Linked DNA regions of Bombyx mori. The protein of the gene in region 1 purifies or fractionates together with the protein of each later gene. This does not show direct contact. Links are inferred from orthologs where the notes say so. Each region holds a gene or a part of one and is shown in the gene's direction. Other genes may lie near its edges.

Evidence for each region.
Region 2: the proteins of juxtaposed with another zinc finger protein 1 (region 1) and Or purify together in Homo sapiens (affinity purification with mass spectrometry; 4 studies listed by BioGRID and IntAct, with this or other methods). This does not show direct contact. The link is inferred for Bombyx mori from reciprocal best matches to the Homo sapiens genes JAZF1 and NR2C2.
Region 3: the proteins of juxtaposed with another zinc finger protein 1 (region 1) and bromodomain-containing protein 8 purify together in Homo sapiens (affinity purification with mass spectrometry; 3 studies listed by BioGRID and IntAct, with this or other methods). This does not show direct contact. The link is inferred for Bombyx mori from reciprocal best matches to the Homo sapiens genes JAZF1 and BRD8.

The regions. Positions count from the first base shown.
Region 1 is NC_085112.1:4,199,313-4,202,938, forward strand, and holds part of juxtaposed with another zinc finger protein 1, read left to right. Parts: intron 1-640; coding exon of another isoform or gene 641-740; intron 741-1,057; coding exon 1,058-1,508; 3' UTR 1,509-3,626. UniProt on the Homo sapiens protein: Acts as a transcriptional corepressor of orphan nuclear receptor NR2C2. Inhibits expression of the gluconeogenesis enzyme PCK2 through inhibition of NR2C2 activity.
Region 2 is NC_085133.1:379,812-383,469, forward strand, and holds part of Or (nuclear orphan receptor), read left to right. Parts: coding exon 1-13; intron 14-456; coding exon 457-537; intron 538-900; coding exon 901-1,033; intron 1,034-2,802; coding exon 2,803-2,995; intron 2,996-3,658. UniProt on the Homo sapiens protein: Orphan nuclear receptor that can act as a repressor or activator of transcription.
Region 3 is NC_085117.1:1,939,482-1,943,611, reverse strand, and holds the start of bromodomain-containing protein 8, read left to right. Parts: upstream 1-1,288; 5' UTR 1,289-1,640; coding exon 1,641-1,825; intron 1,826-3,101; coding exon 3,102-3,282; intron 3,283-4,088; coding exon 4,089-4,130. Other genes in the region: uncharacterized protein LOC101740762, read left to right, coding at 1-92. UniProt on the Homo sapiens protein: May act as a coactivator during transcriptional activation by hormone-activated nuclear receptors (NR). Isoform 2 stimulates transcriptional activation by AR/DHTR, ESR1/NR3A1, RXRA/NR2B1 and THRB/ERBA2.

The DNA.
Region 1 (3,626 bases):
CTGATACCATGACCATTAACGCTGGCGTTCCACAAGGTTCGGTGCTCTCCCCCATGCTTTTCATCCTGTATATCAATGACATGCTGTCTATTGATGGCATGGTTTGCTATGCGGATGACAGCGCGGGGGATGCGCAATATATCGGCCATCAGACTCTCGGAGCGTGGTGCAAGAGAGACGATCAAAACTTGTGTCTGAAGTGGAGAACTGTCTGGGGCGAGTTAGAATCTAATCCGTTGAAGACACACGTTTGCGCAACATTATAATTTAAGTAATTACTAGTAGCAGGACGTCTTGTGAGCCCGCACAGGTGGGTACCACCACCCTGCCTATGTCTGCCGTGAAGCAGTGATGCGTTTCGGCTTGAAGGGTGGGGCAGCTATTGTATTGTAAAAACTGGGACCTAAAAACTCATATCTCAAGGTGGGTGGCGGCATTTACGTTGTAGATTTCTATGGGCTCCGGTAACCACTTAACACAAGGTGCAATAAAAAAAATATACGGTTTAGTCTCGCATTTATTGTTATCATTAGATTTAGATATTGTTTCGGATGAGGAGAATAGTTTGAGGAAATGAAATTCGCGTCTGTTATCATGTCCGGTATAAAGTAAAGAGTTAAATCGATTTGGCAATGTCTAGACAATACCCGATGTTGTCAGCGCCTGGTCTGTTCAGTAAAAAGCGATCGTCCGCACCAAAGAAGCGTTTGACTCCGCAAGAATACTTTTGGAAGAAATGGGTACAAGATAAACGCTAGTATTAAATACTTATTACGCACCTAAATCTTTTTGGATTATCGAGTGTAGTTCATTGTTTTTGTCGATGATAATAGAGTACTTAGATTTATAATCTGTTTTACGTTGATGGAATTGTAATAAAAACTTGGCCTTAATTGCCAATACGAACTACGAAAAGTCAACATAGCAATAATAGGATGAAATACGCACATATGGATTATATTACGAGCAAACATACAGTCATTCATTTTATATATTGTTGGATTATTTGTACTGTACGAAATTAGTATGAAATCCAACGAAGGATCGTATGTTTCAGGGTAAGAAAGGCTTACAAATGCCAGTGCGGCAAAAGTTACAAAACCGCCCAAGGATTTAAGAGCCACTCCATATCGCAACACATCGCCAATAGCACAGTGCTGGCGGTCCCATCAGAGCTGGTCCGGCCGGCGCAGAGAATGCCCGCCGTCGTGGTGACGGCGTCGGGCTCTCGTCCGCACCACGGCCCCGACGGAGCTGACAGCAACAAGCTGGTTCGCATCTATGACACACTAAAAAACAAAGATCTCTCATCGTTTACCATCACTAAAAGTAATCTCGGCATCAATGTCCTATCGAAGCAAAGTCATTTACGTCACGGTCTCCCGTCGTCTCACTCCCCGCCCGTTACGAGTCTCGTTGAGAAAAATGTCGACGCTTATACTAAAGTGACGGTGCAGAGCGCCCAACAGGTTTACGCACAGTCTTTCACTAATGAGACGGCCAATTAATTTAGAACCTTTGCGATCGAAGCGAATTCAAAACGCAGGTTCGAATACACAGTTCCTAATAGTTTTGTTTTTGTTCAGATTTATTTAGCTAACGTAGGTACATAGACTATAGAGGTCGTCAAATGTATTATTGCTTACATGAAATTTAGCTTTCATAAAATTTTCTAGCACAAAAATGTTCTGTAGTAATGCTCCGCAATTTATTTATTTTCACGTTGACATTAGATTAGTTGTATTTATTTTAGTATTATTTGTGATTGTTGTTAATATTTATTTGATTTATTTGCATGTTTTTTTTCATCTGTAATTAGTCTATGGAAAAGGCTGTGGGAGAAATGTTTAATTGGCGTAAACGATTGGTTTATAAAATCGATCTATTTGTAGTTTAGAGTTGGGGTGCGTTCGGATATACATGAAAGTATTTTCCTGTCGCAATAAGAGAGTGGGACGGGAATGTTTTGTTCGCAAATTTTTTTTTCGTATGAACGCACTAATCGCACCTTTTAAAATTCAATACGAAATTTTTCAGTATCGAAAGTGTGTTTTTTAATAAAAGATCTTTCTAATCTTCTTCTATTTTTAACAAAAGTCTTCCTAATAGTAAACAAATGATAAAACACTTACTAACAGCAATAACGTACTAGGTTCCTCGAAATTATAGTTTTAAAATTTCTTTTTAAAATATTTTTGATTCTGGTAACAATATTTTTTTTCTCTTCGTGCCATACTTTGTGGCATGTACTTAAAATTATCTATCAAAATCGCTTTAGATTTATAGATAAACGTTGTAAACACACCCTCGGAATAAATTATTTAAAAAAAGTCAAAAAAATAGTGAACCGCACTTAGTATCGGTATGCTACAGTAATGAACGTTAATGTGATAAAATAAAATAAAAAATACAAAAAAATAAGCTTAACTGCATAATCTAATTTTAATACACACTAAATGTATACATATAAGAATGTCATTTTATGTGACTTGTGTATTTTTATTCAGTGCCTTTTTCTTTTATACTGTGGTAAATTATATGAAGTGCTTTTTTTTTGTTTTGTTGGTAAACATTTTATAGTTTTCGTGTTTGAAAAAACAAACAATTCTTACCAATGAATTAAAAATATTTAATACAAAATTTACATTTTGCGCAATTGGCAATACAGAAAAAAGGTTGTCACACACACAATGCCCATCCCTTAAGAAAATATCCATGTACTTAGTGATTAAAATTGCAGAGGTACGAGTATTACACAAAATAAAAGAAAAATGAGTTTTGTTTTAAAAATAAAGATTCTCATAAAAATGGAATTAAATTTAATTTAAGAACCGTTTGACGTGTGCTTAATTTTTTTTATTGCGTAACCAAAGTTTTTAGAATATAAGTAAACATTCATATGTAATGCTTACACGAGCGTATAATGATAAAATTTAATTTTATGTCAGTGGTTTGAATACGTTTTAGATTTAGATAAAAATTAATGCACGTTCTAAAAAATATTCTCATGTCCTTTTACATACTTTATATGTTTTGTCCGCACTTGATTTGTATTTTTTTGTTACTAATAATTGAAGGATTAAAAAACAAATCTCTCAGGAAGCCAAGATTGTTTTGATTGAAAATAACAATTGGGAATAGGGAGTGTAAAGTTGGGACCATCTGTCCCTTTCTGTTTAACAATTCGATCACAGTACTCTTGGAATATCGAGTATATGTGTTTAATAGCGCTGACGAAATTTACGAAGTATTCAAAAGGATTATTTATTTTAATTAAACAAATCTAATGAATAGTGGTTTCAACTTCAACAATAAGCACAAAAAAGCGTCGTCTATTTCATGTTTGGCGAATAAAATTCTTTGCGCATTTCTGTTGCAAAGCAGTTTTTCATTCTGTGTGCTTAGTGCGAGTTATTTAACGTTCTCGATAACGTAAAAGTTAGGTCATATTTGTATGGGATGGGATCGTTCGCCTACGTTTGCCGCTAGGGGCGCTGTTCCAACCGCATACAAAATTGGGTTAACTTTTACGCTATCGAGAACGTTAAAAAACTCGCACTAAACACACTGATTTGAAGGGAGAGAGGATCAATAAGATTTACAGTTCGATCTCATATCTAATGGGA
Region 2 (3,658 bases), on another chromosome or scaffold:
ATGGGACAGTTTGGTAAGTCTACAAATTTTTTATGAAATAACAAAAATCTAGAGATATATTTTTTGTTATGCACACTACTAATTAACTACATATATTAACTACTGGCTGACCCGGCAGACTTCGTAATGCCTCAATCGATAAATAAAAAACCTAAACTTTTGTATAAAATGAACTAAAAATAAAAACAAAAGGAATCCGTCCGACGGGGGACACATCAAAGAATAAACAAAATTGTCATCTTTATTTAATTCTGAGCATTTTCGTATTTAATCCAAATCCCAAATTTAAGCCAAATTGGTTCAGCCGTTCTCGAGTTTTAGCGAGACTATCGAACAGCAATTCATTTTTATATATATATAGATGTTTAGTTCAGCAAAATACTATGTCAAAAAAATTTCTATCTATCGTCTAATTGCACCTGCATGCTGTTCTGACCTTAATGTGGTGATCGACAGGAGCCATCAACGAGTACCTGCAGTCGGCGTACGGCGCCGCGCCCGAGCCCCCGCCCCCCGCCGACGACGCGCGCCCCGACGGTACCACACGCACGCACTTGCACACACTACTGGACCCTAGTCGCTAGGCAGGGATCGTCGCCTGTCATATCTGAGAATTAATTTAATCAAAATTCCGGTGATGTTTGGCGGAGTGCCCTGCCTTCAAAATGTGTGTGTGTATCGGTCGGTGAATTGAGATACCAAGGCTTGCAGACGACGACTATGTTGAGAAGTCGAGACCAAAGTAGCATCTAAAAGTCGATTCTGGACGCACCCGCTCATTGTCTCCTGCTGTCACTTCCGCCTGACCTCTATCTAGTTACTGGAGGTCACAAACACCGCCCGTAAGATATACATATTGACATCGTTATGTTCGTTGACAAGAGTATGTACAATTTCCAGAGATGGAGGTGTGCTCGGTGCTGGTGCCCGGCGGCGGCGCGCTGCCCCTGCACGCCGCCTGCGAGAGCGCCGCGCGCCTGCTGGCCGCCACCGCGCGCGCACTCGCCGCGCTGCCCGCCGCCACCGCGCTGCCGTACGTACCTGCGCACGCACCCGCACGCACCCGCACGCACGCACGCACCCGCACGCACGCACGCACGCACCCGCACGCACGCACGCACGCACCCGCACGCACGCACGCACGCACCCGCACGCACGCACCCGCACGCGCGCACGCACCCGCACGCACGCACGCACTCACCCACCCGCACGCACGCACGCACGCACCCGCACGCACGCACGCACCCGCACGCACGCACGCACGCACCCGCACGCACGCACCCGCACGCACGCACGCACCCACACGCACGCACTCGCACGCGCGCACGCACCCGCACGCACGCACCCACCCGCACGCGCGCACGCACCCGCACGCACGCACGCACCCACCCGCACGCACGCACGCACGCACCCGCACGCACGCACGCACCCGCACGCACGGTGGTAGATTCTGCGAAGCACGGCACTTACAAGGGCCAGTGCTAGCAACACTCCGTTTAGAGCGTTTAGAGCAGCCTTTCCCAAAGTGAGCGATAACGCCCCCTTGTAGACGCTGAAGGACCCAAGGAGGGCGGTAAGAGACCCAGAAAAAAATGGGGGCGTTGTGTAGAGGCTTGGGAGGCGATTTGTAATTTCATCTAGGAGGGCTCTTGAACACCGACTGAGCTCTCAGTTTTTAAGTAGGCGAAAAAATGGGGGCGCTAAAATAGATTTTGTTCTCAAAGTGGGCAGTAGACAAAGAAGCTGAAATAGCCTCTCTAGGCTACGAGCATAGGTAGGAAAAAACATTATTTTTGTGAACTTTGAGAGCAGATGGTTAGAACCATGGACATCAGCAATGTCTGGGCACTGTGGAAGGATTTCAGAGTACGATAATATAAGAGAGCAATGTCCCTTGCAAACACAGTCCTTGTATGTTTGCACGCAGCGAGAATCTGTTGTATCGTGTATTATGAGGAACTCTGCCGTGGCATCCCCCGCCCCCGGACCAAACTCCACCCTTGATTTGCGACCGCTGCACTACTGCACTGACCACTTCTACGGAATAAGCTTTACTTACACCAAACGTTTTTTTTTTTTTTTTTCAAGTGATTTTATGTCCTGGGGACTAAGACCCTCAGGTCAAGTCTTATTTTAATTGTAATGAAAACTTTTTATAGGAAAATTTTTTTTTATGAAATGAAATGAAGTTGATTAATATGAAACATGACATGAAATATAATCTCAGTAATATAGTGGTTATTTACTGAAATTTTTTCAGTGAACTTTTTGGAGGATCCCGATAAGTTCACACATTCAGTGGCTTTGTTTCATTTTCCCACGTTTGTGCCCTTTTACAGATATTAAACAATTAATAAACCACCGGTATTACACATTAAACACGAAGAAACTTCACACCTCGCGTTCCCGCCAAAAGAATATTCTTGATTGTGCTTTCTCGTATTACCAAGCGCTAAACGAGTAAAATAGTCCTTATAGTGAGCAGTAGGTTCATGTGGACCACTCGGGCGGTAGGCCGTATGCTCGTCTACTTCTAAAGACAACATAATATTGTTTTTTTATTGCCTAGATGGGTAGACGAGCTGACAGCCCATCTGATGTTAAGTGGTTACTGGAGCCCATAGACATCTACAACGTAAATGCGCCACCCACCTTGAGATATAAGTTCTAAGATCTCAGTATAGTTACAACGGCTACCCTGCCCTTGCTTCACGGCAGAAATAGACAGGGCGGTGGTATCTACCCGCGCGGACTCACGAGAGGTCCTACCACCATATAAGGTTCGGTATATATTCTGATCAGGTTCGAGATCCAAGTGACGCTGTTCAAGAAGTCGTGGGCCGAGCTGTTCGTGCTGGGTCTGTGCAAGTTGTCGCACGAGATGTCCCTGGGCACGCTGCTGCCGAGCATGGCGGGGCACCTGCACGCCGTGCTGCGGGAGCGCGCGTCCGGCGCCGCAGCCGCGCACGCACCGCTCGACGACCACGCGCCCGAGGTCTGCTGAATAGATATGACACATCAATCAGTTATAGATAACTCGACTTTAACTCGTCGTGGCTTAAAGGATAAGAAGTCCGGTGCATTCGTATGTAGCGATGCACCGGTGTTCGAATCCCGCAGGCGGGTACCAATTTTTCTAATAAAATACTTACTTAACAATTGTTCACGATTGACTTCCACGGTGAAGGAATAACATCGTGTAATAAAAATGAAACCCGCAAAATTATCATCATCATTAACCTGCCCTTCTTCCAGTCACCAGGGGTCGGTGCAACATGCTTCCTCCTTCCATACTCTTCTATCATATACCATTTCTTCACTCACTCCCCTCTTACCCATATCGTATTTCACGCTATCCATCCATTTCTTCTCATGTCTACCTCTTCCTCTTTAACCTTCCACATTCATAGTTAACACTCTCTTACCAACCTCATTTTCATTTCGTCTCATCACATGTCCATACCATCCCAAACGCACACTTCTCAGCTTCTCTGTCACAAGTGCTGCTTTCAGACTTCCTCTAACATATTCATTCCATCCATTCTATCCATTCTCGTTACTCCACACATCCATCGTAACATTCGCATCTCTGCTGCATGCAGTCGCCTTTCATCTGCCACTTACTAAAGTGGACCACTTAAGTAAGTTGGACCATTAA
Region 3 (4,130 bases), on another chromosome or scaffold:
AAGGACGAATGTCAAAATCTGATGACATTGACACCGTGTTGAAGTTTATTTACGAGAGGCAGAGGGGAAACTCGGCGGGACATAGCTCATAAAATTAACTAAAGAAAAACTAAGTTTCAAGTTACACACAAAATATATGTATCTAAAATTTGAGAGAAATTAATGTGAGATATTATTTTATTTTCCGGAATTCCTTAAAAATAATTAAAAAGTCGTTTGAATGCTGATAATTAATTTCGTGTGACTCGTTTCAGGCCTAAATGACAAACATGACCCTAAACGCATACTGGGAATAATAACCTATAAGGACTTTAAAAGATTAGATTTTTAATTGTGTCGAATCGGTAGGCGATTCTAAGGCTCACTTGGCACGCGATTATCATCCCTAACGCCCCACGACATAGACAACTCAGTGGATTGTGGAAAATAGTGGAAATATTTTTTTATTTTTTTATATCTTAGATGGGTGGACGAGCTCACAGCCCACCTGGTATCAAGTGGTTACTGGAGCCCATAGACATCCACAACGTAAATGCGCCACCCACCTTGAGATATAAGTTCTAAGGTCTCAAGTATAGTTACAACGGCTACCCCACCCTTCAAACCGAAACGCATTACTACTTCACGGCAGAAATAGGCAGGGTGGTGGTGCCTACCCGCGCGGACTCACAAGAGGTCCTACCACCAGTAATTACACAGATTATAATTTTGCGGGTTTCATTTTTATTACACGATGTTATTCCTTCACCGTGGAAATCAATCGTGAACATTTGTTGAGTACGTATTTCATTAGAAAAATTGGTACCCGCCTGCGGGATTCGAACACCGGTGCATTGCTCAACACGAATGCACCGGACGTCATATCCGTTAGGCCACGACGACTTCAAAAAATATGTCATAGATCTATCTTATTTAAAAAGTGTATTAGAGTCTAACTATCATAGATTTATACACTTAATATATTCGAGATAACTATACTGAGACCTTAGAACCTATATCTCAAGGTGGGTGGCGCATTTACCTTGTATGGGCTCCAGTAACCACTTAACGCCAGGTGAGCTGTGAGCTCATTCCCCCATCTAAGCAATAAATAAAAGAAATAATAATAATTGAACACGCCAACTAACAAGCCGCTGAACGTAACTTCTCGGGATCCTCCAAAAATTTCACTGAAAAAGTCTACAATGAAATGACAACCATTTTAATGAGATTATATATTTTCTTCCTATATCATCTCATCTTAATTGATTTCTTTTTCATTCCATTTCGTTTTCATTTCATTTGATTTCATTTCATGCCATGTTTTATATTAATCAACTTCATTTATATGTAAAATTATAATATGAAATAAAATATTATAATTTTACATATAAAAAAGTTTTCATTACAATTAAAATAAGACTTGACCCGAAGGTCTTGATAACCAGGTCATTAAATACTTTAAAAAAAATATATTTGTTTTGTATCATGTTTGACGTTTGTATCATAGAATAAACACTTATTAATTGTGTTCTAAACAGTTAAATAATAAAATAAAAATAATATACTTTCAAAACAGTAAATACACATTACATGGACAATTAAACAACTATAAATAGTTATGTAATCTCGAAACTCCATTTCCAAAACATAACCTCAAAATGAGCTCGATACAAGAGCGTCTTCAGCTCAAAAGAGTTCCTCTGGACACTTGGAATATACGTGAACAGCTATGCCTGGCCTCCGCCGTGGTCAGAAGCGGGGATCAGAACTGGATGTCGGTTTCCCGCGCTCTAAAGACCCTTGGCGAGCCAAACAGGCCTCCGGACTGGTATTCCCAAAAAAGGTTTTGTTTTTCTTTTATATCTACTATATAATTATTGATACAGGTTTGAAATAGCTTGCGATAGTGAAGTGGTGGCTGAGTTGATGAGAAACACATTCGTTTTTACACATTTATTTTTTATTTTCAAACCATTTTTGCATTATTCACCAATGAAAATTCCACCACGCTTTCCACGTTATTTGAACTCGATAAAACTTAAAATTATATTCAGTAGAGCTATTATAGTATTTAGTAGGCTATAATAGGTCAACACACACTCCTCTCTCTCTCATATCGTCATTCACACACTCCATCCATGTCTTCTTTGGTCAAGTTTTCCCCCTCTACCTTGCACTACAATTTCCATAAATCTCCTAGTCTCATGCATCTCCTCTCTACGCATAACATGTCGATACCACGTGAACTGTCCGCTCTTTAAGTCTTTCCACTCGCTAAAAGACACCCTCTATAACTTTGACAACATTAGGATTGGTTAAACACAGCTCTTATATTATATGGCGGGTGGCCCCAATAATTAAATGTTCAAAAGAAATGTTAATACAACATTTTGACAAAACAATAACACCGAGTTAAACAAAATAAAATGAGATCATTGTCAAAAGCCAATTGAATATTCAATATTATAAATAATTTATAAAAATATATTATCAAATAAACTAAAATAAGTAGCATATATAGCAATAAGTTTGTTCTACACACACTTATCACATTTTATTATTATTCTCATTATCCTCTCGCAGGTCTGCTGGAAGAGATTTCTCAAAGAAATAAGTAGTGCCTTTGTACATAATTTTCCTATTACTCTGTACTGTGTCTTGTTTTCTGTGTGTACATAAATAAATAAATAAAATAAATAATAAAATAGCACTAGCTTTAAAATAAAATCATTTAATGTAATTACACTTTGGAAAGAGTTCTGATATAATGGCATATAAAAAGAGTCTAACTAAGTATGTACCTTCTTTATTTAAAATCTATGAAAAAATTTAAATTTTGCAGATTGCTCCTTAAATCCCCAGTAAATTAATCCTATTCATAAAAAAATTAACAAAATTACAAATAACTTATTTGAAAGACACTAAAGCTCTAATTAATTATATTCATTCTATTATTTTAAATAGTTATATTGTTTATGAGCTTATTCAATCCATATCAAACTGCGTAGATGTCATGTCTTCCTCTGAAGCATTGGATAGCTGAATGATAATGAGATTTAGATCTACAAGAACTGTGGGCTCCGTTATCCGTATGTCATTAACACATTTCCATCCATCAGCTGTGCTGCACAATATGGAACGCTATTAGAACATGTGGAAACGCCGAAACGAAAAAAGAGAAACTCTGACGGTGGCGTGGAAACTCCACAGGAGAGTATATTGAAACGTTTAACCCAAGATCGGATAGCCGAGATCCAGAAGAATATTGCTGAAATGAGTCAACAACATGAAGTAATGAAGGTATTTAATTTTCAAGTGAAACTTCTTTCTTTCTTCTTTATGAGGGTAAAATTTTTACAGAACGTCACGCAGGTATGCAACGGAAGGACATCAAACTACTATTAAAATTAAGTACTTGTCAAATGTCAGTAGTAGTAGTTGTTGTATTTTTCCAACTGGAAAGGCAAATGTATCATATCATACAGCCTAATATTTTATTTTTTTGTGAAAAATGTTAATAGGAATTGAAATGAAATGAAAAGAATTTGGAACATAGCATGAAATTAAATTAGTCAATTCAATTGGCAAAATATTAGTCATCTACAATTTAGAAATCTAAGCATAATGTGAATGTCAACACTGAGGTTTGAGATTGACATTTGACAGACTTTTGGCGGGAACATATCTTCCTTTTTCCCTTCTTCTAAGTCTTGGAAATCTAAAGTTTTAGATTTGCATAAATATAAGTAAGACTTATAAATTAGTTCGCCAAAAAAGTTTCACTTCTGACATGTGTACTTTGTACGCACGCACTTTTTTTTTTTTATAAATCTCAAGCTTTTTATAAAACTTTAAGTGCTGTCAGAGTTGTTAAGTATTGGCTAATATCTGACCATTTAGTGACAGTTCGGTGTCAACATCAACATCAACTTTTAAAAGGTTTTATAGCCTAGTAATGAGAGTTTTAAGTCAAAGTCTTATTTTTACACACCAGTGCATCGCTACATACGAATGCACCGGACCTCTTATCCTTTAGGCCACGACGACTTCACTTTGACTCATAAATATAAGCTAGTAATATATCTTTCTTTACCTTTGTACCACAGGATGAATTATCGGAGATCCGTAATCCTTCAACGTCTGATGAG